Linked DNA regions of Sus scrofa. The protein of the gene in region 3 purifies or fractionates together with the protein of the main gene of each other region. This does not show direct contact. Links are inferred from orthologs where the notes say so. Each region holds a gene or a part of one and is shown on either strand. Other genes may lie near its edges.

Region 1 (4,091 bases), on a different chromosome or scaffold from region 3:
CTCCAACCTTGATTCTTTTCTGTAAAAACGGGATTAGATGGTGCATACTGAACAGTTTAATCCAGGTAGCCTTTGAAACAGTGGGAGAACACAGGAAACACTTCACTGTTTATACTGAAAGTACCTTCTGTGGAGGTAGCAATATACAGAACTTCCCTACCTGCCCCAGTCCATGACAGTGCTCTGGATGTAGTGCTGCTGTCACAAACAGCAAGTGCAGCGACAAATTGAGATGATCAAATTTAACCTAAAAAACATCACCTTGTCCAGTTCCAAGCTCCTACTGAAGTTTTAAAATCTTTAATAGTTCATCTCATAGCATTAAAAAATATATATATGCTTTAGCCTTCGAGGTTTGTTGATCTACAAAATTAACATTTTAATTTCAAGGTAAGAAACGTGCTTATTAAGTTATTGCTGGATAAGATAGTTATTCAAAACAAAAGTTGTTCCCATCATAATCAAGTGAATTTAATACACAACTAGTTTGGGATATGACCTTTATTGAGCTTATCCACCGAAGTGGAAATAATGTCTGTACAAAACCAAATGTTTGTTACTATAACTTCTGCATCACAATTAAAATCCAAACAGTTTTTTAAAAACAGTCAACTCAATCAAAACCCACTACTTCAGAATCAATAGCTTCTTTGAAGCCACAGTAACACTTAAATATGGTTAAGACTCGAATGCAGAAATTTGGTTGGTTGGAAAGCTAATTAAACTTCCAACTTGCTCAAATAGAATTACAAAAAGGCAAAATTGTGTTTTTCACAGAGATACAGTCCATTGGAATCACCAACACTGGACAGCTGTTAGAGTATTTAGAGTCCTGAGATAATAAGGAATCCAGGCATCCTTTAGACAGTCTTCTGTTGTCCTTTCTTCCCAATGAGAGATTTGTGGATGTGTGGAATGACACCTAGGGGAGGAAAGGGATACTTTTAAATATACATTATTTTGAAAATTAACACAGGACTTCAAAACCATGACAGTTTAACGTTCAACTTCGAAGAAGTCTTTAAATGTGAGGCCAGAGTATGCAGAAGTAAAAATTCACTAAGTTATATACAGGAATCAATTTTCATGATGCAACCATACTACAGATCACTGAAAATAACACTAAGTGTCCTCTTCTAGTGGGGGAAAAAAGTAAAGAATTATCTAAAGAAATTAAAAAATTTTTAGTATTTACATACCACCACCAGCGATTGTAGCCTTGATGAGAGAATCCAATTCTTCATCTCCACGAATAGCAAGTTGCAAGTGACGAGGAGTAATACGCTTTACCTTCAAGTCTTTTGATGCATTTCCTGCCAATTCAAGTACCTAGAAGACAGAATCTAATCAATCTCCTGCCAACTTTCCTTAGGATCAAGATCCAGAAGAATCAAACCTTCGTGAACGTGTATCTACCAACTGCCGTCTCCCCCCACTACCTGAATGGCAAGATATGCAAAAGCTATAAAGGGGACACGCAATTTTATTTCCTAAAGCAGTCAACTCAAGCTCAGGAGGAACCCAAAATGAACACCAGCCCCCTCTAGCGTTGTCAGAAGCTTCTCACCGCGTTCAGAGCCTGGGAGTTTTCTTGCATCACTTTCCTCCTTCCCTCTCACCGCCTCCCCCCACCACCTTTTCCAGATTACAGGCGTACACCCATTTACCTCTGCGGTGAGGTACTCCAGGATGGCTGCGCTGTACACAGCGGCAGTCGCGCCCACACGTCCATGGCTGGTCGTCCTAGATTTCAGGTGTCGATGAATACGGCCCACCGGAAACTTCATTTTTCGCATACACAAACACAAATGCACAAAGATAGAGGAGCCAAAAATGGTCAAATTATACGCGCGCCAAAGCAAGGGGCACGGAGGCTGATGCAGCAACGCGCCCTAGCATCGCCACACGTGATCGCCCCCCCTTCCCCAATATTTATTGTATCGGTAAACCAAGTCCCGACACCATCACCACGCAAAGACCAAAAGCTCATCTAGTGCAATGATAAACAGAGAAAAAGGAGAGAAAAACGCCGCGATTCCCAGACAGCAGAAACCCCCACTGACCTGCAAACCGGCTCTCTGCGAGCGGGAAACCGCCTTTGTCTTGGCCTTTCCGGAGTCCTTCCCAGCCTTACCGCCAGCCTGCGGCGCGCACACGCCCGCGAGCGAAGAAGGAACGCAGAATACAGGATTACCAAGGCGGCGCGCCCCTCCCCCACCGCGGGGCGGCCCGGGCGCGAGCGGGGCCCGGTGCCCAGCCGGGGTCTCCGGCCCGCCGCGCGCCGCAAGGGCGACCCCGCCCGCCTGCCCCCCGCTGCGCGCCCGCCGCGGCCGCGCGCTTCAGGCCGCCCGCTCACCGCCCTCCGGCTCCCAGCGGCGCTGCGCGCGCCACCCAACCGTCGCCGCCCGCCGCGAGATCGGAGGCTGCTCCGCTCGCCGCCGACAAAACACCTCCCCCCGCTCTTCCACATCCTCTCTCCGCGCGTTCCCAACCGTCACCGCTTCACCCCCATCTCCGTGTGTAACGGGTTTTTCTCCTGCCGGCAAAAACCCGCGTAGTCTTCGAGCGCCTCCGCGAAGTTTACCATTTCGAATTCTGCTGAAGCTCAAACAAGCAAGGCAGAGAAAGGACTAGTCAGTCACCAAGCGAGATCCCGCCGCCTACTCCTCCGTCGCACCGCGATTCAAACTGCGCTGTCTCCCGCCTTCCCCGCTCCCTTTATACTGCAGAATGTTCCCTCATCCGGGAACTCGGATTGCTCATCCCACCAATGGCTGCCACCCGCCCTCGGGCCGCGTCCTTGAAGTCTCAGCCAATGAGCAAGCGAAGAAAAGGGCGGAGGGGCGGGCGCTTTGCAGCTCGAGCTGTTATTGGGGCATGAGAAGGAGGTGGGGGAGAACGGAGGGATGGGAACCCGGGAGAAGAAGGGCACAGCGGCGGGAGGGAAGAAACAGAGCGAGCTACGCTGCTTGAGCAGGGCACCCGCCGGCTTAGTCACGTGCCTGGAGGGAGGAGCTGAGAGGCTCAGGGGAGGGGCACGCAGTAGCTGCCCCCTATTCCACCTTTGCCTCCTTGCTCGGTTCCAGAGACCTCGGAAAGCGGGGACTAGCACTCCCTCCTTCCTGCCCTGCCCTCCCTCCGCCTCCGCCCCGTTAGAACACCTGGCGGGCAGAGACCCGCCTGTCCGCAGCCTTCTTCCGGAGCACGGGGTACCTTCACCGACCCCCCTGCATTCCCGTTGACACCTCCGGTCTGACAGGTGGCGCGAAGGCGTCCAGTGAAAGGCGCCCCGACTCCTTCGCTAACCATAGTCTGGGTAGTGATTTCGCGTTTGTTCCTCCTAGGCAAGTGCCCAGCCACCGATTCATCACGACCCTCTGCTCCCACTTTTTCAGCTGTATCTCCTTCCTCTTCTTTTCTCAGGACTTTTTGAACCCCCTACCTCCCCAACCCCAACAGAACAGTTTCATGGAAAAGACGGTGAAGCAAAGTCACCTCGCTGGTCATAAAAGACCTTTTGGTCTACCCACTGAAGGCTTGGGCTGAGGCGGTATTCTTTAATCAAATCATATTTTTCTAAAGACTACACGTCTGTGGGTTGTACCTATAGCCTGGCTTCTAAAGTTGATTTAGTGAAACATGAAGGCTATTATGTGTCAACTCTTCTATGCTAAACATTTTGCTACTTGACAAATGTTCGGTAAATGTCCTCATATGATTCACAGGCAGTTACAGATGGTCCATGTAATCAAATGCAAATGATGGGCTTAAAAAAATAGTACTGTACACACAGTACTATCATAATGCCAGCTACTTAATTTTCCAACTAATAGATTAATAGCACCTCTGTACACGTCCAGCTGCTTGGAGACAGTAGTGATCCAAATCTTTCATACTTGGAGTTTTAACAGTAATTACGTTATAAACATAATTCAGTATTTCTGACATTAAGAAAATTTGAAATATATACTCTTTAGTACTGTAGTTTGGGTTTCAATCTGAAAGTTTTATCAAGTTTTTTTGGAAATTTGCTGTTAATTTTAAAATTAAAAAATTGGGAGTTCCTGTTGTGGCTTGGCGCTAAAGAACCC
Region 2 (3,500 bases), on a different chromosome or scaffold from region 3:
ATGTACCCCCAGTGGACACTCAGTGTTCTTCAAACTCCTGCAGATTTTTCTAAGTTTTTACCTTCTCTTGTCCCTTCACCAGTTTTAGCTTTACTATTGTTTTTTTCTGAAGGAAGTTTTGAACATTCTGCATCTTTATCTTTTGTTTGTCTTTCATCTTTCACTTTTTGTACATCTTCACTCCTTTTTGAGTGATCCAATTTCTTCTCAGTCTTCTCCTTCTTTTCTTTCTTTCTTTCTCCCTTTTCACTGCTGTCTGCTTTCTTTTCACCTTTGTCTGTTGATTTATTTTTTGGGTCACTGCTTTCTTGCTGAACATCTTTATTTAGCAGAACTGAACTATTGCTCTCTTTAGTGTGATTTTTACTTTCTTCAACTGGACCTGGGAGATCATTAAGTTCTTCTGACTTCAGGGCTGTCTCCTGTCCTTCCCCTGCAGAGTCAGGTGTAGGTTTTTCTTTTTCAGTCGCATCCTCTGAAGTTCTCTCCTTCTCGGCACCAGTGTCAGTGCTTGGCTGAGATGGGAGTTTTTTGGATGTTCTCTCACAGGCCTTGGCATTTGACGTTTCTGTTGAAGCCCTGGCAGCGCTAGCTTCTTGGTTAAGAGAGGTGATGGTCTCCAAGATTGACATGGCGTCACTGGCCACGTTTGCACTGGGCCCAGGGGCAGGGACACCTTCAAGGGAAAGACACAGTCTAAAATAAATTTATGCTGAAGGTAAACCCCTCTGCTGAATCAAGGCCACTCACCACTGGCATCCTTATACGACACATATGCCTTTAGACTTTCAGGTGCTGGTATTGGAACCTAACACATTCTCCATTCTCTACTTCTCTAATACAGTATCTTAGGAAAGGCACCATGCAAATGTGAGAATAATTCCCAGAAAAAGAGTGTTTTCTCTAATTATTTTAATTATCCCTTCTACTGAAACACACACACATGTACCCCTACTACATTGCTAAAATGCCTATTATTTAAAAAAAAGAAATATTATGTCTGCTCAGGAATTTGGGTGATAATTAAAGTAAATACGATTTCACTAGAGTGACCAAGTAGATGATTTAAAGAACTAAACACCCCTAACTTGATACTCAGTTCAAGAAGAAAAGCAATGGAACTGACCAAGAGCAAAAGCAAAGCACCTTGTGTAATGACGGAAGAGTCTGGTTTCTCATCATCAGGTGCTGTGCTGCCACCTGTTTCCTCTTTGTGATTTAGCGTGGCCAGAAACTCATGCACTGCTTTCTCCACCTGAGGTCTGAAGGTGTGGTTGATCTTTGGATCCACAACCTGAGAAATAATTCGGTCAATACCAGACTCCAACATTCCTGATCTGAAACACAGGATAATTTACAGAAAGGTAAAAAAATTATTCTATACTACTTGTATTATTACTTTTAAGTAAAGCTGAATCTATTACACGGATGTTCAACATTAAGTTGCCTCCAATCCATTCATTTGGAAATCCACAAAGAACACCCAATGGAAAGTAAGTTTCAGGAGTTCCTGTTGTGGCTCAGTAAAACCAGACTAGTATCCTGAATGAGGATGCAGGTTTGATCCCTGGCCTTACTCAGAGAGTTAAGGATCTGGCGTTGCTGTGAGCTGTGTGGTGTAGGTCACAGATGCGGCTCGGATCTGGCACTGCTATGGCTGTGGAGTAGGCCAGCGGCTACAGCTCCAGTTTGATCCCTAGCCTGGAAACCTCTGTATGCCATAGGTGTGACCCTAAAAAGACAAAAAAAAAAAAAAAAAAAAAAAAAGTCATACTACAGTGGCATTTAATATACCACAGTGCCAAAAAAACATGTAAACTTCTCACCACCATGTCACTAGTGGAAATACTAAAGCAGACAAAACAGAAACAAAACAGCCTTAGAATTAGACATAGCACACTATCTAAAGGCCAGGCTTATACATGATGCTTACCTTACTTCAATTCTGCCCATGGTAGATGGGATTAAAGTCACTAAAGCTGAGTTCTGAGTATAAAACAAATCTATGGACTTCCCCCTCCCCACTTTCTTTAAGCAGAAAAATGTAAGCCTTTTATGAGTATTAGGGTCTCCAGGAAAACAGAATATAAAGCTTCCAAAAAAAGAAAAAAAAAAAAAAAGAAAACTTTAGAGGAACAAAAATAAAACTTATGACTTCTGGTGTTCTTTTTATTACCTGCTTGCTATAAAAATAAATGACTTATTCCTCAGCAATTATGTTATGAGTGCCTTCTATACAGCAGGCACCATTCTAGCCTCAGCTGCTACAAAACAGACCTGGTCCCTGTTCTGGTGGGAAAGACACAATTAAAATGCAAGACAACAGGAACTAGGACACACCATACACTGTTGGAAAAGAGTAGAATGAGGAATTAAAAGCTATGTCTGAAGTAATTTGGAATGCTTCACAAAGAAGACATTTAACTTGCATCTTGATTTCCAGAGAAAAGAAGGAGAAGAAAGTGCCCAAGGAAATATATTTAAGAGGCAGATGACCAAGTATAAAACGCACAAGAAATCACAAAGGCGTCTGAACAAAATAAGAGGACATGAATTTAAGAAATGCACTTTAACCCTGTTTCTTTCTAGCAAAGAACTTGAGGAGCCACAGATCCCTGGGCAGTGCTGGGAGGGTTGGGTGCTGGTCCTTTTCAGCTTCAAGGCCTCCGGCTCCCTGGAGAATGAGGGAGGTGTCTCTCCTTACACCTCACAATGCTATTTCTGAGAGCAGCTCTGTCTGGAGTGGAGGATGGGTGTGGTTTTTGTTTCCTGAAGCATACTGCAGCCCTGGGATACTGTAGGTTATGTGGGCCATAGAGAAAAATGAGTCAACACTGCACAAAGTAGGTAACCTCCTTTCTAAAGTTCTAAGATTAAAAAAAAAAAGCAAATCCTGTAAGCATTGCTACATCTTAGAGGTACCTTTAAAAAGTAGCGGGTGGAAAAGAAGCAAGGACAAGCAATCTGAAAAATGTTCTGAATTAAGGCTTAATTAAGCACAAAGGCACAAAATAAAAAAATAAACATCCACCTCCGAAACACTGCTTCGGTCTCTTTTCTTGATGCGTATGTTCTGGGCCCTTGTGTACTTCAGTCCACTCTTAACAGTGGTCAGCTCTGATCTTAAAAGTGAAGGCTGTGGTGCAACGGGATCAGTGGCATTTCTGCAACGCCAGGACACAGGTCCGATCCCTGGCCCAGCACAGTGGGTTAAAGGACCTAGTGCTGACATAGCTGCAGTGTAGGTTGCAATTGCGGCTCGTATCTGATCCCTGGCTGGTTAGCTCCATGTGCTGTGGGGTGGCCAAAAAAGAAAGGAAAAAAAAAAAAAAACCCTCAAAAAACAGAGGCTTGCAACTAGAGACTATCATACTAAGTGCAGAAAGTCAGAAAGACAAAAACAAGTACCGTACGATATCACATACGTGAGGACTAAAATATGGCACAAATGAACCTATGTACAAAACAGAAACAGACTCACAGACATAGACAACAGACTT
Region 3 (3,500 bases):
GCTGAATGTTCCAACGGCAACCCCGAAAAGGCGCCACGGAAGTCAGGGGGGTGGCGAGACAGAGTCGCCCACATGGGGACAGAATCTTGGCTCTTGGCTCAGACGATCGGCCGACTCTCGGGGGCGACACCAGCAGACAGATGAGCAGGTGAGACAGACGGCAGGAGGCTTCAGCTGACTACTGACATGGGGGGCAGAGGGGGTGTCCAGGCAAGAGGACAGCAGCTGGACTAAAGCAGGCAGAGGCCAGCAGACAAGCCACTGACCCAGAGGGTTCTAATCCAGGCCCGTCCATCAAAGGCTGACCGTAGGAGCCGCGGCACTGCCCCGACACCTGCCTGCAGACAGGGAGGCGGCTGCATGACAAGGACACACACTGCACTCCTTTCCACAACACGAGGGTTACACACAGCACCCACCACCCAGCCGGGAGCCTGCGGGCAAGAGGTGGACAGGCTGGAGATGAGCGGTGCTGGACCACGGCTGTCTGGCATGGGCAAGGGCGCTGGGAAACATGTTTTTGTAAAACACCAAACCACCCCAGAGGGCAGAGGCCAGCTGCTGGCAGGTGCCTCTGAGGGGGGGGAGTCGGGAGACTCTGAACTGCTACCTGCTACATTGCTTGCCTTTTTTTTCCAAGTCAGCACACATAACTTTCCTAAGAAACAAGACTTTAAGGGAGTTCCCGTCGTGGCGCAGTGGTTAACGAATCCGACTAGGAACCATGAGGTTGCGGGTTCGGTCCCTGCCCTTGCTCAGTGGGTTAACGATCCGGCGTTGCCGTGAGCTGTGGTGTAGGTTGCAGACGCGGCTCGGATCCCGTGTTGCTGTGGCTCTGGCGTAGGCCAGTGGCTACAGCTCCGATTCCACCCCTAGCCTGGGAACCTCCCTATGCCGCGGGAGCGGCCCAAAGAAATAGCAAAAAAAAAAAAAAGAAAAAGAAACAAGACTTTAAAAATCCTACCACCATTTAAGCAAACGTCCCATTCCTGACCACAAACCATAACACAGACAACTTTCAACCACCAGCCGTCGCTCCAACTACTTCCCGGTTACTTCCTGTGTCATCGTTTGCGCGGCCTGTTTGGAGGGCTGCACCCCACCGTGGAGGAGAGAGGAGCAGGGGGCCCCAGAGCCCATCACCCAGGGCTCCCTCTCCACAGCAACCGCCTCCCTAGGAGCCCCAGGCACTGGCTGTGACACCGACGGCGAGGGCTGGGCCTGAGGGCCAGCACCGGGCCAGCGACTTCAAACAGCCAGTGTCTGTGCCCTGAAGGCTCGGGGCTCTGCGGACGGTCTCGGCTGGACAAAGGCCTTCCAGGGCTGAACACGTAAAACTGCTCGCCTGCACAATGTCAGGACCTCCAAAGGACCAACTGCTCGGTGACATCAAACAAGCTGTTTACACGTGACTCCTTCCACCTCTCCAACGTAAACTTGGCTAAAAAACCACTTCAGGCTCTCTGCTCACAAAGAAATACTTTGGCTTTTTTTTTTTTTTTGGCTGCGCCCACAAAGTAGTTGGGTGGCACACAGACGTTCCCAGGCCAGGCATCGAACATGCACCACAGCAGCGACCACACCAGGTCCTTTACTGCCGGGCCACCAAGGTACACCCTACCTCAGCTGTTTTGCAACCGAGCAATTCAGACAGGTGTGCAGGTCAACCCCTGCACCTGCACTGAGCGGTCCGGGAGCGGCAGGCCCCGGGACCCTCCGCTCAACAGCGGCACCGCCACGGCCACAGCTCCCTCGGGAGGCCCCTCTCCAGGCCGGCCGCCCGGCCCGTGCTGTGAGGCTCCGCGGCACCCCCCACCCCCGGGCCCGGGCCCAGCTCGGACGCTCGCCCGGCGCCGCCGTTGGGGACTCACGGCTGAGACGGGATCCGAGTGCGCGGGCAGCGTCTTGAGGCACTTCCCTGTCTTCACGTCCCAAATCCTCACGCTCTCGTCGAACTGAAGACGAAGGAAGAGGTGACAGCGGGGCCCCGGGAGGGCAGAGACCAGACCCCTGGGAGGCCCGCGCCCCCGGCCCCGCCAGCCGCCCCGCAGAGCCGGCCACTTACGGAGCCCGAGACGATGAGGTTGGACTGGGGGTTGAAGTTACAGCAGAAGACGTAATTACTGTGTCCCTTGAGGGTCTTCAGACACTTCCCCTGAAAGCGAGTGCCGTCGGCCTAAGTCCTTCCCGGCGTTACCTGCCCGACACCGGCCTCAGGCTGAAGCCGGCAGCACCCCCGCCACCCCCGCAGCTGGAACGGAGGGAGACCCCGCCGCTCACCGAGCTCACGTCCCATATCTTTAGGGTCTTGTCATCTGAGGCAGAAACGAGAAGGTTAGAGTCTGACGACCAGGCCACGTCTGATATTCCCTGGGGGCGGAAACACACAACGGGGCTGAGCCAGCAAGAGCTACATGCCGGACACGCAACTAAAGACCCCCGGCAGGTGGCCCCGCCTGGAGCCCCTCGGCTCCCGCTGGCCCCCGGCCTGGGCCTAGAGCCTGCCCTCCGTGGCGCCGCCAGGCCTCGCCGGCGGGCAGGCCGAAGAAACAAGAGGCAAAAAAAAAATAAACAGGAGGCCAAAATCGGGGGTGGGGGGGGGCTGAGCTCTTAACCGGACAAGCCCGCAGAAGGGCCCCCACTCCGCCCAAGAGTGACCGCAGGGTACAAGGCTGACACCTACCAGCTTGTGACCAGATATGGTTTTCTCAAATTTTCCGTCGTAAGCTCCCCAAATCTTAATGAGTTTATCTGCAGCTGAAAGAAAGGGAGACACAGCAGTGGCGGCCTCCGGCCCTGGGAAGCCAGCCCTCGGCTGCCCGGGCTCCCCGCCGCCTCCAGACCGGACACCTACACGAACTCGCCAGCCACTCCCCGTTCGGGCTGAACTTCACCGAGGACACAGCTTTCGTGTGGCCGGCCAGGGTGAACTTCAGCGCGTAGTTGGGTTTAACAGGTGTGGGCTGTGAAAGGGAGCGGAGCAGTCAGCCAACAGCAGCCAGCGCTGCCCAACCCCGCCGGCGACGGGCGGGGTGCGACCGGGGTCCCAGGGCCTCTTTGCCAGCTCGCCCTATCGTTTGACGGTGCCCCTAGAACTCCCACCTGTCCCCGTGTCCCCTTTCAAACACGCCTACATCTGAACGCGTTCTCCCCTGGCAGACCCTGCCTGTCCTGCAGCCCCTGCCGCAGACGCCCCGCCACCCGGGCTCAAATCCTGCAGCCCCTCCAGGCAGCGGTCCCCCACCCGCCCCTGAGGACTTGCCCCCTGGGGTCTGCAGGGGGGCTCTGCCCTGCAGCCGGGGGGGGGGCTGTTCACCAAGGGACAATTTCTGGGCCCCACAGACTCTTACAGCGAGACCAAGGATCTATATTGTGGATCAAGCCCCCTCCCCAGGGGGCAGGTTGGGGATCCTGGACGTGCCACAAAGTACGCACTGGCTGGGAATGTGGTTTTGAGTGAAACGGGTGATGTTTTAGGAGGGAGAAAAGACTTATGGGCT
Region 4 (4,173 bases), on a different chromosome or scaffold from region 3:
CTGCAGCTCCAATTCAACCCCTAGCCTGGGAACTTCCATATGCTGTCAGTCAGTGTGGCCCTAAAAAGACAAAAAGAAAAAAGAAAAAACCCACAAAAAGAAAGAAAGAAAAGATGAAAGAGCCACCATGACCTTTCCATAGTAATCTCTAATATCATACTCCTCAGTATTGGAATTCTCTGAGCAATTCAAAAGACGTAGAAGAGACTTTCCAAACCTTATCTGTGTACTCTTATTCACACACTAGAACCTCTTCCATTTAACTATCCTCAGTTTAGGCTCCTTCTCTCCAGTGATATGTCCAATGAATTCTAAAATTTTAAAAGTATAAACCAGGAGTTCCCGTCGTGGCGCAGTGGTTAACGAATCCAACTAGGAACCATGAGGTTGCGGGTTCGATCCCTGCCCTTGCTCAGTGGGTTACAGATCCGGCGTTGCCGTGAGCTGTGGTGTAGTTTGCAGACGAGGCTCGGATCCTGAGTTGCTGTGGCTCTGGAGTAGGCCGGTGGCTACAGCTCCGATTCGACCCCTAGCCTGGGAACCTCCATATGCTGCGGGAGCAGCCCAAGAAATAACAAAAAAAGACAAAAAAAAAAATAATAATAATAATAGAAGGTATAAACCAGAAGGGTCTTTAAAAGACGACCTAATTTTTTTCATTAAACACTAGAGAGGTTTCTGAGGTGACCAGACTCTAACAAGGACCTGGTAGCAGAGATGGGACAACTAATAATTCAATAAATAAACACTCAGTCCCTATAATAAGTCAGGTTCTGGATATATAATACTACCCAATCTCTACCTTTGGGAAGATCATACTCACATGGAAGCACAGAGCATCAGCGTTAAGACCATGGATTCTGGAATCAGATGGACTTGAGTTTAAATCCTGGCTCTGGGAGTTCCCATCGTGGCTCAGTGGTTAACGAATCCAACTAGGAACCATAAGGTTGCGGGTTCGATCCCTGCCCTTGCTCAGTGGGTTAAGTATCTGACATTGCAGTGAGCTGTGGTATAGGTTGCAGACGTGGCTCGGATCCTGCATTGCTGTGGCTCTGGTGTAGGCCAGCGGCTACAGCTCCGATTAGACCCCTAGCCTGGGAACCTCCAGAAGCAGCCCTAGAAGTGGCAAAAAGACCAAAAAAAAAAAAAAAAAAAAAAAAAAAAATCCTGGCTCTACCAATTACCAGTTGAATGACCTCAAATCTATAACGTAAACTCTGTGAAACAACTTCCACATCTGAAAAGAGTTCACAATATAGTGGCACAAATGCCAACAGGTTTATGGTAAAGTATACTAATGTCTACAATTTATTTTGAAATGCAAAAGCAGATTGCTAGATGGATAAAGGAGCAGATATAAGATAAAGCAACAGAGTAAAATGTTACTTGTAGAACTTAGGCACACAGGTATGCACTAAACGAATCTTTCAACTTCTTTGTATGTCTGAAAAGTCATAATAAAATGGAGGAGAGACACTTATTAGAATGGAGGTGACAATTAGACAATGGAAAAGGAGCTGCTAAGTACAGTGCTTGGCAGGTAGAAAGCACTGGACAATGTCAGTTATTTACAGTGACAGGTCTTCAGTGAGCAGAAGCTGGATAAAGAGAATTTTCAGTCACCTTGACCCTATTGCTATATCCTCTCTTGGCAGAGGATGTTCAAAAAAGTAACCAGAGGCTTCTCTTTGGCCTTTGCTATTAGCACAATGAGGCCAGAAGGAACCAGTCTTAAACTCCAATTTTATAGCTGCTAAGCCACGGCAGAGGCCAAGGGCATGGGGCTGCCGTGAGAGCAGAGACTACTTATTGGGGGCTGTACCAGCTCAGGGGGCGCGGGCTCAGGAGTCAGAACACACGGGTATAAACTCCAGCGTTACCATCGCTAAACTGGGCGGCAAGTGGATTGGTGACGTGCCCGCTCCCACGCTGAACAGTTTCGTGAGTATAACGCAGGAGAGCCGACTCGGCACCTTCATCATTTACTAACAGCGGACTTAACGGAATGGTCAGAAAGGAGGCTGGCGGGGCGGGAGAGCGGATCGCGGGCCCTGGAACTCCCGCGCTCTCAGCCCGATCCCTTCCCGACTCTGAAGCCCCCAGAGCTTCCCTCTGACCGCACAAATCCCGACCCGTGCCAGGGCCCTCGGAGCCCACCTACGTCTAACGGTCCTTCTGCTCCCCGGCGTCAACGTTTGTCATCCGAAATGCAAGCCCCCGGAGTACAGGGACCTGGCCCGTCTCCTCCCCGCTCATCCCCTGGCCGCGCCGACCGCGCAGGGCAGGGTCGCTCAAGACTCGCCGGCCAGAGACAAGGCCGCCAGGACCGTCCTGCCTGGGGACGCCCCCGCCTCGGCCCGCCCTCCGGGCCCGCCTCAGCCCCTCGGCCCCGCCTCAGTGTCCACCTCAGCGCCCAACTCAGCCCTTCAGCCCCCGCCTCAGCGCCCCCGCCCCCAGCCCACTGCCACACCTCACGCGCGTTCTCCTGGCCCACGAGCCCCGAGGCCGCCTGCTTGGCCAGACCATTCTCGTCTAGCCCTAGCCCCTTCACGTGGCTGTGGGAGGCAATGCGCTGCGTCTTGGTCGTGCTCTTCACCTCCTCGATCTTCATCCTGCACACCTGAGCGCGAACACCCGCGGAGCCTTGAGAGCTCACACCGGGTGCCCAGTAACCACGCGGCCGTTACCAGGCGGTTGGCCCAGGTCCGCCTCGGTCGGCGCTCCATTGGCCGCGGCGGGAACGCCTTCACCTCCCACTGGCTCTTGGCCGTGCCCTTCGCAGCTGCCGGGGAGGCTCCGCCCACCCACTTCCGGCTGTGTCCCAGGGTTTGTGTCCCCGCGGAGAGCGCTTCCTCCCTGGGTGGGAAGAGAGGGGTGCTGCACAAAACCCGGGCCGAATCCTGCCCTTTACCGTACTGCCATTGGTGATGGCAGCCAAACACATACCCTTATGCAGAGCCCAAGTTCCACCTCGGTGTTGGAGATGAAAAAACAGGTTTAGATCTTAAGCTTGTGTTCACTAGGCAGTTTGCTGACCTCCAAGCCTTTCCTCCCCTGGGGAAGCAGTGCTGAGCATCCTCTGTGCAACTGTCCTCTGCTTCTCCTCGCCACCTCTCTTTACTTAAATTAAGTTGGCTGTGAGTGGCGTTTTATGTCCCCAAAACTCTACTACCCTGTAAGATACTGTAACTCCTAATACAGATAAAGATGTGGCTAAATTAGGCCCAGTAACTTGCCCAAGAACACACAGCACATAATCAGCAGAGCTGGAACTCCAGCTGAGGACTTAAGGCTTTGCAGCCTGTGTAACCCTCATCCCAGCCCATGACCTCAGATGAGACAATCATCTAGCAGCCTGTCATGTCTGGTTCCATGATGATATTGACACTCGCCCTTTGGATGTGCTCCATTGGCCACACAGTCATTCAACAAACATTTGTTAGCACCTGCTGTGAGCCAGACAAGAGAATGCACTGGGATGCAGATATCAAAACAAAATCTCCAGCCTTGACAAGCTCAGATCTTAGGTGGGAAACTTACAACATGAGGAATGCAAGCCCAAGCAGGGCCACGTGGAACAGGTGGAGAGCCAAGGAAGGCACCATGAGATGATAATGTCCAGACCTAACCCTGAGAGAAGGGTAACACCCTCAGGAGTAGATGGTATGTCACCATTTTACAAATGAGTGAACTCAGGTCCAGAGAAAGGAAGGAACTTGCCCAGAGCTCAGAGAAGCTTGCATTAGGCTTGAGACAGACCTGAAGCCAAATCCAGCTGCAGTAGTTCTGGATTCTCAAATCTCCTTGAACTTCTCCATGGTAACATTTGAATCTAGTTTCCTAATTATTTGCAAATTATCGGGTCAATATTAGTCTCTCCCTCTAAACTGCAGGCATTACGAAAATGTAGACCACATCTGCGTTGCACATCATTTTAACCCCAGTGTCAGGCACATGGTCTGGCTCACAATTAAGTCTCCTTATAAATTCAGTACAGTTCTAGACCTCCACATACACACACAGTCATGCAGTTTTGCTGCACGTATTTTACATATTAGATTTTATGGGATGTGGTTATGGTTTCTGTCAGTAAATAGAAACTTTTGGCCCCCAACTCCCCTTCTGCCAGAGCTGTTACATTTTTTTTTCTTTTTGTTTATTCTTATATAT
Region 5 (4,249 bases), on a different chromosome or scaffold from region 3:
TGCATTCCAAGACTTTTTTTTCCTGTTGGGAGCTGCCTTGGGCCCATCCTCCCCTTTGGGGGGGAGCCCAATCCATGGCCCAGGCCCGCACCCATAGGGACCAATGGAGCCTGAGCAGCCTTGTTTACAGCTTCTTTCCTGCTCCTGCATCCTGCCAGGCTCCTCTGCCAACCGTAGGCCTCCCTGTTCCCTGCTCTGTGTCCAACCTCCCTGCACTTTTGCCTGCCTCCCCTTCAGCCTCTTGGCTTCCCTACCCCTGCACTTCTGGAAACCTCCCTGCACTTCTGGAAACCTCCTTGCACTTCTGGAAACCTCCCTGACCATCTCCCAGACTCTCTTTGCTCTCAGCCTTCCTGCATCTCTTGCGGCCTTCCTGCACTACACCCTCCCGAGTCCCCTGCACCTCATCCCGGATCTCCATTTCCCAACTTTTTATTGTCTCAGCATCCCCCCCTCCCCCCCCTCCTCTCTTCCTTCCCTTCCTCATTCATCTCCTCTTCCCTCTCCACACCCTCCACCCCCTTCCTCTTCCTGCCTCCTCATCTCCCCTCTGCATCCTCTCCTCCACCCTCCTCCACCGTTTATTCTGCAAAAACTCCAGCACTTAGATCAGGCTGGGGGAGGGGAGCGGTGTCTGGAGAGGGCTCCCTAGCCCGGGCTCGCGACTGTTCTCTGCAGGGACTACCCAGGCCCAGACACCCCCGGGGTGCCTCGGGGTCGCAGAGCTGGCAAGCCGGGCCTCGTTTGTAGATTTGTGCAGGGGTGGCGGGTACTGTTCCGAACAAGCACCTGGTAGAAGGGAGGGGCGAGGCTCTCGAACCCTCCCCGGTCGGCCCGAGCTGACCTGCCCCGCCTGGGCTTTTTAACCCAGTCGGTTTGTTAAAGGCGTCGCGGCTGGAGTCATTCACGTGCTTTGTAACTGTAAGAACAGAAAAAATTGGACCAAAGCTCCCAGCTGCAGGGAGCAAAGAAGGGGCGGAGAGAGCTGCGATTATTTTCTAAGAGGACGAGAGAGGTTTGTTGCACGCGACAGTTCACTGGGGAGGCAGGGTCTGAGCCACAACGCGGTTCGGAGTTGGTTTGGTTTTGGTTTTTTTGTGTTTTTTTTAATATAAAAAAAAGCGTAGGGAAAAAACCTAAAAGTCTTTAAAAAAAAAAAAAAAAAGGATACATCAAACTGATTCTCCCTTTTTGTATGCCGGATGCTGCATGAGTCTGAAACACCAATAAACGGAGACTGCATGATACTCGCCTCCAGCCTCAGTTGGTCCTTACGTGCCTGCGCCGCGGGGCCGGAGGTACAGCCTCCTTTGGGGCACAACCTACTAGGTGATTTGCGCATGCGCCACCCCCGTGGCCATCTTTACTGTGGGCCGAAGCCTATCGTTCCCGAGCGCCTACCTGCGCATGTGCAAGCCTCCCCTTGCTTTCCTCTCCCAAGTAGCTTTGACTAAAGCGGAGCCTCCCGCGCCGTATCTGTGCGCCTGCGTACTTTGACCCTGCGCGGCCCGGGAGGCGGGTCTTAGCTCCAGGTGCGTACGGCCGCTGAGGTGGGGGACCTTCGAGGTGTGGGGAGAGGACGCCGCATCCAGGTGTAGAGCGGCGTAGTGCGGAGGCGAGAAGAGCGGGTCCGCCCGTCTCCGGCCCGGAAAGTGGTTTCTGCCGCTCGCTGGAAACCTCGGAGTACCGGATCTCGATCTGTGGGGGGCGGGGTCCTTGGAGGGGACTGAGCGCCCCCTCCTGGGAACCGGTGGTCTGGTCGCGAGACCGCTGTTGGAGCCTGATTGGTTAGCGAAACAGTCCCCGAACCCCGGGGTGATCCCTTTTTTTGGGAGGGAGTGGAGGGAGGGAGGGGGCGCGGGGGGAATCCCCGGCTTGGTACTCCTGCATCTCCTGGCATCGCTGGGCCCCTTCCCTAGTGGCTTATGTCCCTTGTCCGGGGTCATGGAGACACGGCAGCCACCGCGGCGGCGCCTCTGTCTGAAGAAGGGGAAGTGACCTCCGGCCTCCAGGCTCTGGCCGTGGAGGACACCGGAGGCCCCTCTGCTTCGGCCGATAAAGCCGAGGAAGAGGGGGAAGGAGGCCGGGAGGAGGCCGAACATGAGGGGTCCAGGGCCGAGGAAGTGCAGGGAGAAGCCCCCAGCACTGAGGGGGAAGAGCCCGCCCAGGGAGACTCCGAGGACTGGTGCGTGCCCTGCAGCGATGAAGAGGTGGAGCTGCCTGAGGATGGGCAGCCCTGGATGCCACCTCCCTCCGAAATCCAACGGCTCTATGAACTGCTGGCTGCCCACGGTACCCTGGAGCTTCAGGCAGAGATCCTGCCCCGCCGACCACCTACGCCTGAGGCCCAGAGTGAAGAGGAAAGATCTGATGAGGAACCCGAGGCCAAAGAGGAGGAAGAGGAAAAGTGAGGATTGCTTCCTTGATGCCAGGAGGAAATAGGGAGGGAGGTGGGACCCAGGAGCATGGGAAGTTAGAGGGAGGGGAAGAGCCCGAAGGCCCGGGAGAAGCACCAGTGGAGGTTTGGAAGGATCTCCCTCACCCTCCTCTCTCTCTCCACCTGTCCCAGGCCGCACATGCCCACAGAATTTGATTTTGATGATGAGCCAATGACACCAAAGGACTCCCTGATTGACCGGAGGCGCACCCCAGGTACAGACAAGAGTGGAGAATGGGGGGCGCGGGGGGGCCTCTGTTCCCACTTACTCCGAAAGGGACTCCCTGAAAGAGGTCTTTGAGGCGTTCTCTGATGGCTTAGTGGCAAAGGACCCAGCATTGTCACTGCTTTGGCACAGGTTCGAACCTTGGCCTGGGAACTTCCACATTCCATGGGTGTGGTCAAAAAAAAAAAAAAAAAAAAGGTCTCTGCTTGGTTCCTTGGTAGCTACACAAATCACAGCTTCAGGGGAGAGCGTGCACTCAGTGGTTGCCATCCTTCCAGTCTAGGTGGTACCCAATTTTCTTTTAAAAGATTATCACAGGTAATTCTATCATATTTCCCATTCCTTTGGTCTCATTTCCCCCCCACCCCCATCCCAGAAGTCCGAGTCTTCTTGGTCATTATCTAGCTCCACATCCCTATGCTACTGCGTACACCTCCTAATCTGACCTAGCTTCCCATGCCTAGAGTTTACCGTCAGAGCCATTCTCTCTCTCTCTCTTGTGTGTGTGTGTGTTTAGGGCTGCATCTGCGGCATATGGAGGTTCCCAGGCTAGGGGTCAAATCAGAGCTATAGCTGCTGGCCTACACCACAGCCACAGCAACATGAGATCTAAGCCACATCTGGGACCTACACCACGGCTCATGGCAACACCGGATCCTTAGCCCACTGAGTGGGGCCAGGGATCGAACCCGAATCCTCATGGATACTAGTCAGGTTCGTTAACCTCTGAGCCAAGACGGGAACTCCTCTCAGAGCCATTCTTGATTTCTCTTTCTTTCTTTTTTTTTTTTTTTTTTTGTCTTTTGTCTTTTTTTGTTGTTGTTGTTGTTGTTATTGTTGTTATTTCTTGGGCCGCTCCCGCGGCATATGGAGGGTCCCAGGCTAGGGGTCTAATGGGAGCTGTAGCCGCCAGCCTATGCCAGAGCCACAGCAACGCGGGATCCGAGCCGCGCCTGCAACCTACACCACAGCTCACGGCAACGCCGGATCGTTAACCCGCTGAGCAAGGGCAGGGATTGAACCCGCAACCTCATGGTTCCTAGTCGGATTTGTTAACCACTGCGCCACGACGGGAACTCCCGATTTCTCTTTCTTTTATGTCAACATTCAAACCAGCAGCAAGTCTTGTTAGGTCTGCCTCCACATTTCCAAATTCAGCTACTAGTCTCTGTCTTTAATGTGACACCCTGATCCAAGCCGTCTCTCTTTCAAAACATAAGTCAGCTCAAATCTGTTTTAAATTTTTTTAAATTATTATTATTTTATTTTTAGGGCCTCAAGTGTGGCAAATGGAGGTTTCCAGGCTAGCGGTCCAATTGGAGCTGCAGCCCCTGGCCTACACCACAGCAACACGTGATCCGGCCACATCTGCGACCTACACCACAGCTCACGGCAACACTGGATCCTTAACCCACTGAGCAAGGCCAGGGATCGAACCTGCAACCTCATGGTTCCTAGTAGGATTTGTTGCTGCTGTGCCACGACAGGAACTCCCAATTCTGTTTTAAATTCTCCGAAGGAGGAGTTCCTGCTTGGTGCAGTGGATTAAGAATCTGATTGCAGTGACTTGGTTCACTGGAGAGGGA
Region 6 (3,500 bases), on a different chromosome or scaffold from region 3:
ACAGGCTGCAACTACAGCTCCGATTCAACCCCTAGCCTGGGAACCTCCATGTGCCACAAGTGTGGCCCTAAAATGCAAAAAAAAAAGAAAAGAGAAAAGGAATATTGTGGTGCAGTGGGTTAAGAATCCAGTGTTGTCACTGCGAGGCCTGGGTCACTGCCATGGTGCGGGTTCGATCCCTGTCCTGGGAACTTCCACATGATGCAAATGTGGCAAAAAAAAAAAAAAAAAAAAAAAAAAAGATGCAAACTGAACTATTAACATTGGTTTCTTTGTGAAGTGAGTCTGGGATTGTGTGAAAGCAAACTGAACATGTTTTGGTGCTGTTTAAAATTTTTCCAATAAACATGTGTTACGTTGTTAAAAACAGCAAAAAAAAAAAAAGTGTGGGATTGCCACACACCACAGGAGGTAATAAGCCAGGGACAGTTGACCCTCTGACTGACTTTTTCCCTTTTAACCTTCCCGGAAAGCTTGCTGTCGGGTCCCTGCCCTCAGACCTGCTGTAATTCTCCTCGGGGCCCCTCTCCTCGGCGTCGGCCTCGTCAGTCCTGTCGTAGGTCAGGAGGTCTGCGGGCACGTCGTGAATCTGGACGCTGGGTGCGTGGTTCAGCATCTTCAGGTTTTCAAAGATTGTCTGGCGGATCTGGTCCAGATACTGGTTGGGGATGAGGAAGAGTCAGTGAGCAGCTCCCGGGGACCGCAGGACATCCACGCTTCTAGCTGCCTTTCGCCCGTCATGTCCAGAGTTTCAATCCCATGTCGCGTCTGAGTTCGCGTCCCCGGCTGGTAACTGCCCCTCCTCCCAACTCTGCCTTCACTTTAACCCAAGCTGCTGCCCAGCTGCTAACAGCGGAAGGATGGCCGAGAACCTTCCTCTCCGCTCTGGATTTTCTGACTTCCCACCCCCGGGATGACTCCTGGCGCCCCCCACCACCCGGGCTGCTCGGCTTCTCCAAGCTGCTGACCTGGCGTGAGTTCTGATTCTCAATGCGGGTGCTGACGTCTGGATGGAGCGTGAAGTCCGGGGCAAAGTACTCAAAGTATTCTTGGGGGGAAAGGGGATCAGGAGGAGACATTAGGGCTCAGACAGAGACAGGTTCCCGAGACTTCCCAGTCTCTTTCCTTCGTATCCAAAACCCTTACGAAATAGCTACCCGAGCTCTGCTCTGGGCTCGTGTTTAGTCTGCAGAGCTCTGAGAAAGTCCAATTTCCCACCTGCTTTCAGACCAGGCCATTCTGGGGTCTTGCAAGAATGGCCTTCCTGGTGCGGGGGCATCATGGGGTGTCCTTACCACTATAGGGGAGCTCCTCGCTTATGGCCTCTTCCACCAGCAGTGATGTCTCATACGTCCTGAAACACCACCAGGGCAGGGCCGGCTGAGCCAGGGGGCTGAGGGCCCCACCTGCCCATCCCTCGGGAAGCCCCCTGCTCACACTGGACAAGGGGGAGGAGGAAAATCGGGGCCGTGCTCACCAGCAGCGGGCGACGTTCCGGACCGTGTAGCCGCCGCCCCCGAGCACCAGCAGAGGGATGTTGAAGCTCTTGACGTATTCGACGCACTCGCTGTTCAAAGGAACCAGAGGGATGGGTGGGGGGAGTTCCCAAAAGCCCACGGGTTTGCTTCTAGACACTGACTGCAAAGGGCACAGGACACTAGAAACGCTGTATCCTGAGCTAGGGACTGAAAACCACGGAACTCTACCCCCGAGACATGTGCGCTTGATTATACACTTTACACAGAGGTTGTGTCTCAATACAAATGTTCAAAGAGCGCACCCTCCCACCTCTGCCCGGCTCAACACCCACCCAGGCACCCCATGTGGTAGTCGACTGTTCTCACCAACGCGCCAGCCCGTGCTGGCAGTTCCGCCACCGAAATACATCTCAAATCATCTACTTCTCTCCACTGCCACGTCCTCCAGCTCAGCCTCCTGCCTAGACCACACCGCCAGCTTCCTAAGTGGCCTTCCCACGCCCACTCCTGTGCGCCCACCCCAAACCTTTCTCCATGCAGCAGTCAGAGCAGTCGCTTTAAAACACGAGCTGACTGACCAAAAAGGTTGGAGGCGGGTTGGTTCTCTTGTTTTGAAATAATAACTAAGATTGAGTCAAATGATCTTTGACAATACTTAAAATCTGGAGGAAAAGTTCTGAAAAGTACTGAATCCTTTATGTCTTCAAATCTTGTTACAAATGTATACAGAATATATAAAAGAAGAAATCCCTATTGCAATGTTAAAAAAAATAAAAAATAATAAATAAAAAAAAGCACACGCTGGACCGTACCACTTCTCTGCTTAAAACCTTTCGACAGTTTCTCATCATGTCTGAAATATAATCCAGACCCCTCCCAGGGTCTAAACGCTCTGCACAACCCCACTGAGGCCGGCCTGTCGGACCTCAGGTCAGACCGCCTCCAGCGTGCGCGCCCTGTGCCTGCCTGCTGGTCTTCCCTCGCCTCCTCCGCTGCACCGGCCCTTCCCTGGCTCAGACCTCTGCGTGGGCTCGTCTCACTGCTCAGGACAGAGCCCTCTCTGCTCACCCCTTTGGGCGTCCAGGTCTCAGCTCAGATGTCCACTCCTCAGAAAACTCTTTCCAAACCGCATTATCTAAACAAAGTAGGTTCTCCACGGTTATCCCGGGTCTTCGCTTCCTTCTTCCTTCGGGACTGTACAATGATCTAGCTGTTCTGTCTGCTTACGTGTTTGTTGCCAGCTTCCTACGCTCAACCGTGAACTCCACGGGAGTTTCCCCCCTGCATCCCCATCTCCTGGTGCAAGGCCTGGAGCGCAACAGGTACTTAAGAGAGAGCTACCGTGGCTGAATGGCCAGCGGGGGAACACTGCTCAAGGTCATCTTTCTAGTTCAAAGCACAATGTGTAGATATATTTTGAGTCCCAAGAGGCGGTGAAGCCTATGCCCCAACTACCCCCATTCCATGTGTTGAGGCCCAGAGCCATTTGAAGACCTGGGGGGAGGGGAAGGAGGGCAGGTCTCACCCGTGACCTCGAATGCTGAGGTTGAAGCAGCCCAATCGATCACAGCCCAGGGAGTCGGCTCCGCACTGCGAAAAGCAAAAGCAAACCGCAGGGGGCTGCAGTGAGATGCCGGCTCAGAATGTCACAGAGGCCCTCACCGCCCATCCCCCAGCAGCCTGGGGACTCCCGCCTGCCTGCTCTCTGTCCTCAAGGCCAGGGGGCAGCACCGATAGAATTACCTGGAGCACAATGCACGTGGGTTGGTAGAAGTCCACCACCTGGTTGATGACTGGCTGGAAGAGGTGCTTGTAACCTGGGAGAGGGCCAAAGATGGGCGCCTGGCACCCCAAGGGGATGGGGAGACAGGGAACAAGAGGAAAAGGGGCTTCAGAGAGCGTGTAGCCCAGGAACCTCGGCTTCTCCACTTCTGGGAGGCTCCGATGAACTTCTGGAGCAACTGAGGGCAGCTAATGACCCTTTTCCCAGAAAAATGCACATACACACATTACGCTGCACCC
Region 7 (3,500 bases), on a different chromosome or scaffold from region 3:
CCAAACACACAAGCAACCATTTCATTTAGTTTTACTTACATCTGTTTTAGGAGCAGATAAGCAGAACTGAATAAGCCCAATCTTAGCCTTTTCAACTCTGGTTATGCCAGAATTTGCCACTTTCTGAGTAAGAACCAGACCTTCTACCAACTCACAGTCATCGATTGTCCCACTTAAAGAAAAAAAAAAAAAAAAAAAAAAAAGAAGAAGGAAATGAGATAATTAAGAGGGAGGAAATCTGCAAGTTTAGTAGAACACCTTAAAAATCATCAGTAATTTAATTATCAGTGATTAAAATGTGCTTTAGCCTCATTCACATTTCTAGTGCCCATTCCTGAACCACACTGCCCTGCCATCATTAGGAATGTAAATAAATTCTTGAGATTCCCACATTAATACAAATTGCTATGCAAACAAAAACCAAACTTTTGTGACTTTCTAGGTGGTTTCCATTTAACTTATTTTTGCCAACAACCAATATTACTTTCGAAATCGATTTCTATTAATTAAAGCTGTAATGAGAGATACTTACCCAAGTTTCTTAACTATTTTAATATCTCTAAGATCTACACTAGTAGCTGTGGCTGGGTCAATCACTTTCATCACTGCATTTACACTCATTGGAGAAAGGAGACTTGAATACTGAGACACAACCTAGAATTATTAAAAAACAGAATCAGTGTCACAACAGAAAAAGCCCTATTACTTTATAATGATAAAAATATTCGAGAAGTAATCTCAATCACTTTTGGGAGAGCATAAGAGAAAACATTCTATATAAACTGTCTTTTCTATTCAGGTTTGCTGAAACCAGGATACAAAATTAAAAATATATGCTCTCAATTCCCTGGGGGCGGGGAATGGTTAAGAATTCGGTGTTGTCACTGCTGTGGCTCATGTCAGATCTCTGGCTGGGGAATTCCTGCATGCCATGGCCAGAAAAAAAAAGAACAAAGAAAACTTGCATTTCTCTCTTATTAATATGGTACTCAGTACTCAGGACTAACCAGATTACTCATAATCCTATAGAAAATTAGTTTAGTAACATGGTCACTCTTGAGAAATAACATTTATAAACTGTCCAGCATCAATAACCACAGCATAAGATTTGTATGTAATTCTTAATGAACCTTAAATTATAATTTTACTATGATCTTTCAGTGCTGGTCTCACCTTTGAGTTCAACGACGTGGTGGCACTATTCAACAAGGTATCTCTGTCACTAAGTTCCACAGGTCGAGACATGTCAGTCAAGATTTCAATACCCTTTTCCAGAGCCTTCTGGAATGACTCAGAAATGATGGTTGGATGAATCCCTGCCATTTATGAAGGACCACTTATTTAATTGTAACAGACAAATTTCATATTTGACATGACTTAAAATTTCTCTATTCATTAACATTTCAAAGCAGTAAAATTCTCAATTATTTAAAACTATAATTTAGGCTTCAGTTATAAACATAATGGCTTTTATAACCTTAATCACAAATAGTCCTAATAATTTACTTCCATTTAATTTGGTATAGATTAGTTACATACTCATGTGATATTTGAGACTAAAACCAATTTCATACTTTTCAAAACTCTACAAATCTACATAAGTAGAATAATTGACCAGAGAGTCACTACTACGTCTAAAAATTATTTACCAAATCAAGAACCCATATTATATCCCAAATCACAGTTCTCATCTATACCCTAAATTTTATCAAATTCCATTCAAAAGGAGACCTAGAAAAAGAAAACATTTTCTAACTCACATAATACGGTGAAATTTAATCTAAAAATTTCTGATTAAAAATTAGCTGTTCCAAATTAAATTTTAAATCAGATATTACTTAGCAACTTCTTGCCTTTATTCAGTAATATAAAGCATGTTCCAAGTCTTCTTACCTACCTTTCTGAAGAAGCTTCGTACAGGAATCTAAAAGAGAGCCAGCAATGATGACCACCGAAGTGGTGCCATCTCCTGCTTCTATATCCTGAGCCTTCGACAGCTCCACCAGCTAAGTGAACAGAACATCAGGTTGCTCAATCAGAAATATGAAAACTCAGTAAAACCTAATTCAAATATAACTTCAATGACCTTCACATCAGTTTCACATATAAAACTTTATTATCAACACTGTAAGATTCAATATACTTGACTTTTGATTTGCTGTCCACCTTGGTTTCATTTAAAACTGACCTACTAGAGTTCCCATCATGACTCAGCAGAAATGAATCTGACTAGAAGGTTCAGGTTTGATCCCTAGTCTCATTCAGTGGGTTAAGGATCCAGTGTTGTGAGCTATGGTATAGGGCACAGACTCAGCTAGGATCTGGAGTCACTGTGGCTGTGACTTAGGCCATACCTAAGCCCCTAGACTGGGAACTTCCAATGCCAAGGGTGCGGCCCTAAAGAGACAAAAAAACGACAATAAAACTGACCTATATATTTGTGACACACATAATTCTTATATATTTTTTCTCTAAGTAGCTCTATTATGATTTCCATTCCAGACTATAGTTTGTAAATTTTTTCCTTGAGCTAGCTACTCAAAAGGACAATGGATAACTTGCAGACTCAGAAGTTATGAAATGTAACATTCAGAGGAGACTGTCAGTTTGGAATCCTTCCCCAAGCTTATCTAAACTGACCCTGCATTATGCAAATTAAGATTTTTTTTTTTTTGCTTTTTAGGGCCTCATCCACAGCAAATGGAAATTCCCAAGCTAGGGGCTAAAACTAAGCTACAACTACAGCAACAGGTCTGTGACCTACACCAAAGCTCACAGCAACACCAGATCCCTGACTGCCAGGGTTTGAATCCATATCCTCAATGACTTAGTCATTTCTGCTGAGCCATGTGGGAAACTCCAAAAGGGACTTTAACATAAATTTATTTTTTTTTCTTTTCATGTCTTTTTAGGGCCACACCCGGAGCATACAGAAGTTCTAGAGTTCCTGTCGTGGCTCAGTGGTTAACGAATCCGAGTAGGAACCATGAGGTTGCGTGTTCGATCCCTGGACTCGCTCAGTGGGTTAAATAAAATAAATTTATCTTGAAAAAAAAAAAAGTAGTTCCCAGGCTAGGGGTTGAATGGAAGTTGTGTCTGTGACCTATACCACAGTTCACTAGGACACTAGTTGGGTTTATTACCAATGAGCCACAATGGAAACTCCTTAAGAGGAATTTCTAAAGAATATTTGTTTTTGCTGCTACAGTGACTTCTCACTTGACATTGGAATCATCATTATGATCCACAGTTGAATTAAAACCTGTTTTTAGGATTTCGTGTCATGGCTCAGCAGTAATGAAACCAAATAGTAGCCATGAGGATGCAGGTTCCATCCCTGGCCTCGCTCAGTGGGTTAAGGGTCTGGCATTGTCGTGAGCTATGTAGGTCACAGACGCAGCTAGGATCCTGCTTTGCTGTGGTGTAGGCTGGCAGCTATAGCTCAGATTCAACTCCTAGCCTGGGAACTTCCATATGACACTGTGCGGCCCTAAAAAGCA

What was found.
Region 1: the proteins of WDR5 (region 3) and H2AFZ purify together in Homo sapiens (affinity purification with mass spectrometry; 3 studies listed by BioGRID and IntAct, with this or other methods). This does not show direct contact. The link is inferred for Sus scrofa from reciprocal best matches to the Homo sapiens genes WDR5 and H2AZ1.
Region 2: the proteins of WDR5 (region 3) and BOD1L1 purify together in Homo sapiens (affinity purification with mass spectrometry; 4 studies listed by BioGRID and IntAct, counting the BioPlex papers as one, with this or other methods). This does not show direct contact. The link is inferred for Sus scrofa from reciprocal best matches to the Homo sapiens genes WDR5 and BOD1L1.
Region 4: the proteins of WDR5 (region 3) and RUVBL1 purify together in Homo sapiens (affinity purification with mass spectrometry; 3 studies listed by BioGRID and IntAct, with this or other methods). This does not show direct contact. The link is inferred for Sus scrofa from reciprocal best matches to the Homo sapiens genes WDR5 and RUVBL1.
Region 5: the proteins of WDR5 (region 3) and PAGR1 purify together in Homo sapiens (affinity purification with mass spectrometry; 5 studies listed by BioGRID and IntAct, with this or other methods). This does not show direct contact. The link is inferred for Sus scrofa from reciprocal best matches to the Homo sapiens genes WDR5 and PAGR1.
Region 6: the proteins of WDR5 (region 3) and HDAC3 purify together in Homo sapiens (affinity purification with western blotting; 3 studies listed by BioGRID). This does not show direct contact. The link is inferred for Sus scrofa from reciprocal best matches to the Homo sapiens genes WDR5 and HDAC3.
Region 7: the proteins of WDR5 (region 3) and CCT4 purify together in Homo sapiens (affinity purification with mass spectrometry; 3 studies listed by BioGRID and IntAct, with this or other methods). This does not show direct contact. The link is inferred for Sus scrofa from reciprocal best matches to the Homo sapiens genes WDR5 and CCT4.

What each region holds. Positions count from the first base shown.
Region 1 is NC_010450.4:120,562,433-120,566,523, reverse strand, and holds H2AFZ (histone H2A.Z), read right to left. Parts: upstream 2,773-4,091; 5' UTR 2,588-2,772; coding exon 2,585-2,587; intron 2,142-2,584; coding exon 2,064-2,141; intron 1,782-2,063; coding exon 1,668-1,781; intron 1,330-1,667; coding exon 1,200-1,329; intron 923-1,199; coding exon 861-922; 3' UTR 501-860; downstream 1-500. UniProt on the Homo sapiens protein: Variant histone H2A which replaces conventional H2A in a subset of nucleosomes. Nucleosomes wrap and compact DNA into chromatin, limiting DNA accessibility to the cellular machineries which require DNA as a template.
Region 2 is NC_010450.4:9,240,923-9,244,422, forward strand, and holds part of BOD1L1 (biorientation of chromosomes in cell division protein 1-like 1), read right to left. Parts: intron 1,338-3,500; coding exon 1,147-1,337; intron 677-1,146; coding exon 62-676; intron 1-61. UniProt on the Homo sapiens protein: Component of the fork protection machinery required to protect stalled/damaged replication forks from uncontrolled DNA2-dependent resection.
Region 3 is NC_010443.5:273,563,279-273,566,778, reverse strand, and holds part of WDR5 (WD repeat-containing protein 5), read right to left. Parts: intron 2,964-3,500; coding exon 2,855-2,963; intron 2,758-2,854; coding exon 2,684-2,757; intron 2,371-2,683; coding exon 2,281-2,370; intron 2,156-2,280; coding exon 2,066-2,155; intron 1,956-2,065; coding exon 1,872-1,955; intron 1-1,871.
Region 4 is NC_010455.5:72,199,008-72,203,180, reverse strand, and holds the start of RUVBL1 (ruvB-like 1), read right to left. Parts: upstream 2,801-4,173; 5' UTR 2,615-2,800; coding exon 2,474-2,614; intron 1-2,473. UniProt on the Homo sapiens protein: Possesses single-stranded DNA-stimulated ATPase and ATP-dependent DNA helicase (3' to 5') activity; hexamerization is thought to be critical for ATP hydrolysis and adjacent subunits in the ring-like structure contribute to the ATPase activity.
Region 5 is NC_010445.4:18,051,230-18,055,478, forward strand, and holds the start of PAGR1 (PAXIP1-associated glutamate-rich protein 1), read left to right. Parts: upstream 1-1,449; 5' UTR 1,450-1,925; coding exon 1,926-2,407; intron 2,408-2,569; coding exon 2,570-2,652; intron 2,653-4,249. UniProt on the Homo sapiens protein: Its association with the histone methyltransferase MLL2/MLL3 complex is suggesting a role in epigenetic transcriptional activation. However, in association with PAXIP1/PTIP is proposed to function at least in part independently of the MLL2/MLL3 complex.
Region 6 is NC_010444.4:143,277,422-143,280,921, forward strand, and holds part of HDAC3 (histone deacetylase 3), read right to left. Parts: intron 3,296-3,500; coding exon 3,222-3,295; intron 3,069-3,221; coding exon 3,004-3,068; intron 2,673-3,003; coding exon 2,547-2,672; intron 1,568-2,546; coding exon 1,478-1,567; intron 1,355-1,477; coding exon 1,296-1,354; intron 1,049-1,295; coding exon 969-1,048; intron 659-968; coding exon 501-658; intron 1-500. UniProt on the Homo sapiens protein: Histone deacetylase that catalyzes the deacetylation of lysine residues on the N-terminal part of the core histones (H2A, H2B, H3 and H4), and some other non-histone substrates.
Region 7 is NC_010445.4:79,930,838-79,934,337, reverse strand, and holds part of CCT4 (T-complex protein 1 subunit delta), read right to left. Parts: intron 2,007-3,500; coding exon 1,898-2,006; intron 1,317-1,897; coding exon 1,174-1,316; intron 655-1,173; coding exon 533-654; intron 173-532; coding exon 40-172; intron 1-39. UniProt on the Homo sapiens protein: Component of the chaperonin-containing T-complex (TRiC), a molecular chaperone complex that assists the folding of actin, tubulin and other proteins upon ATP hydrolysis.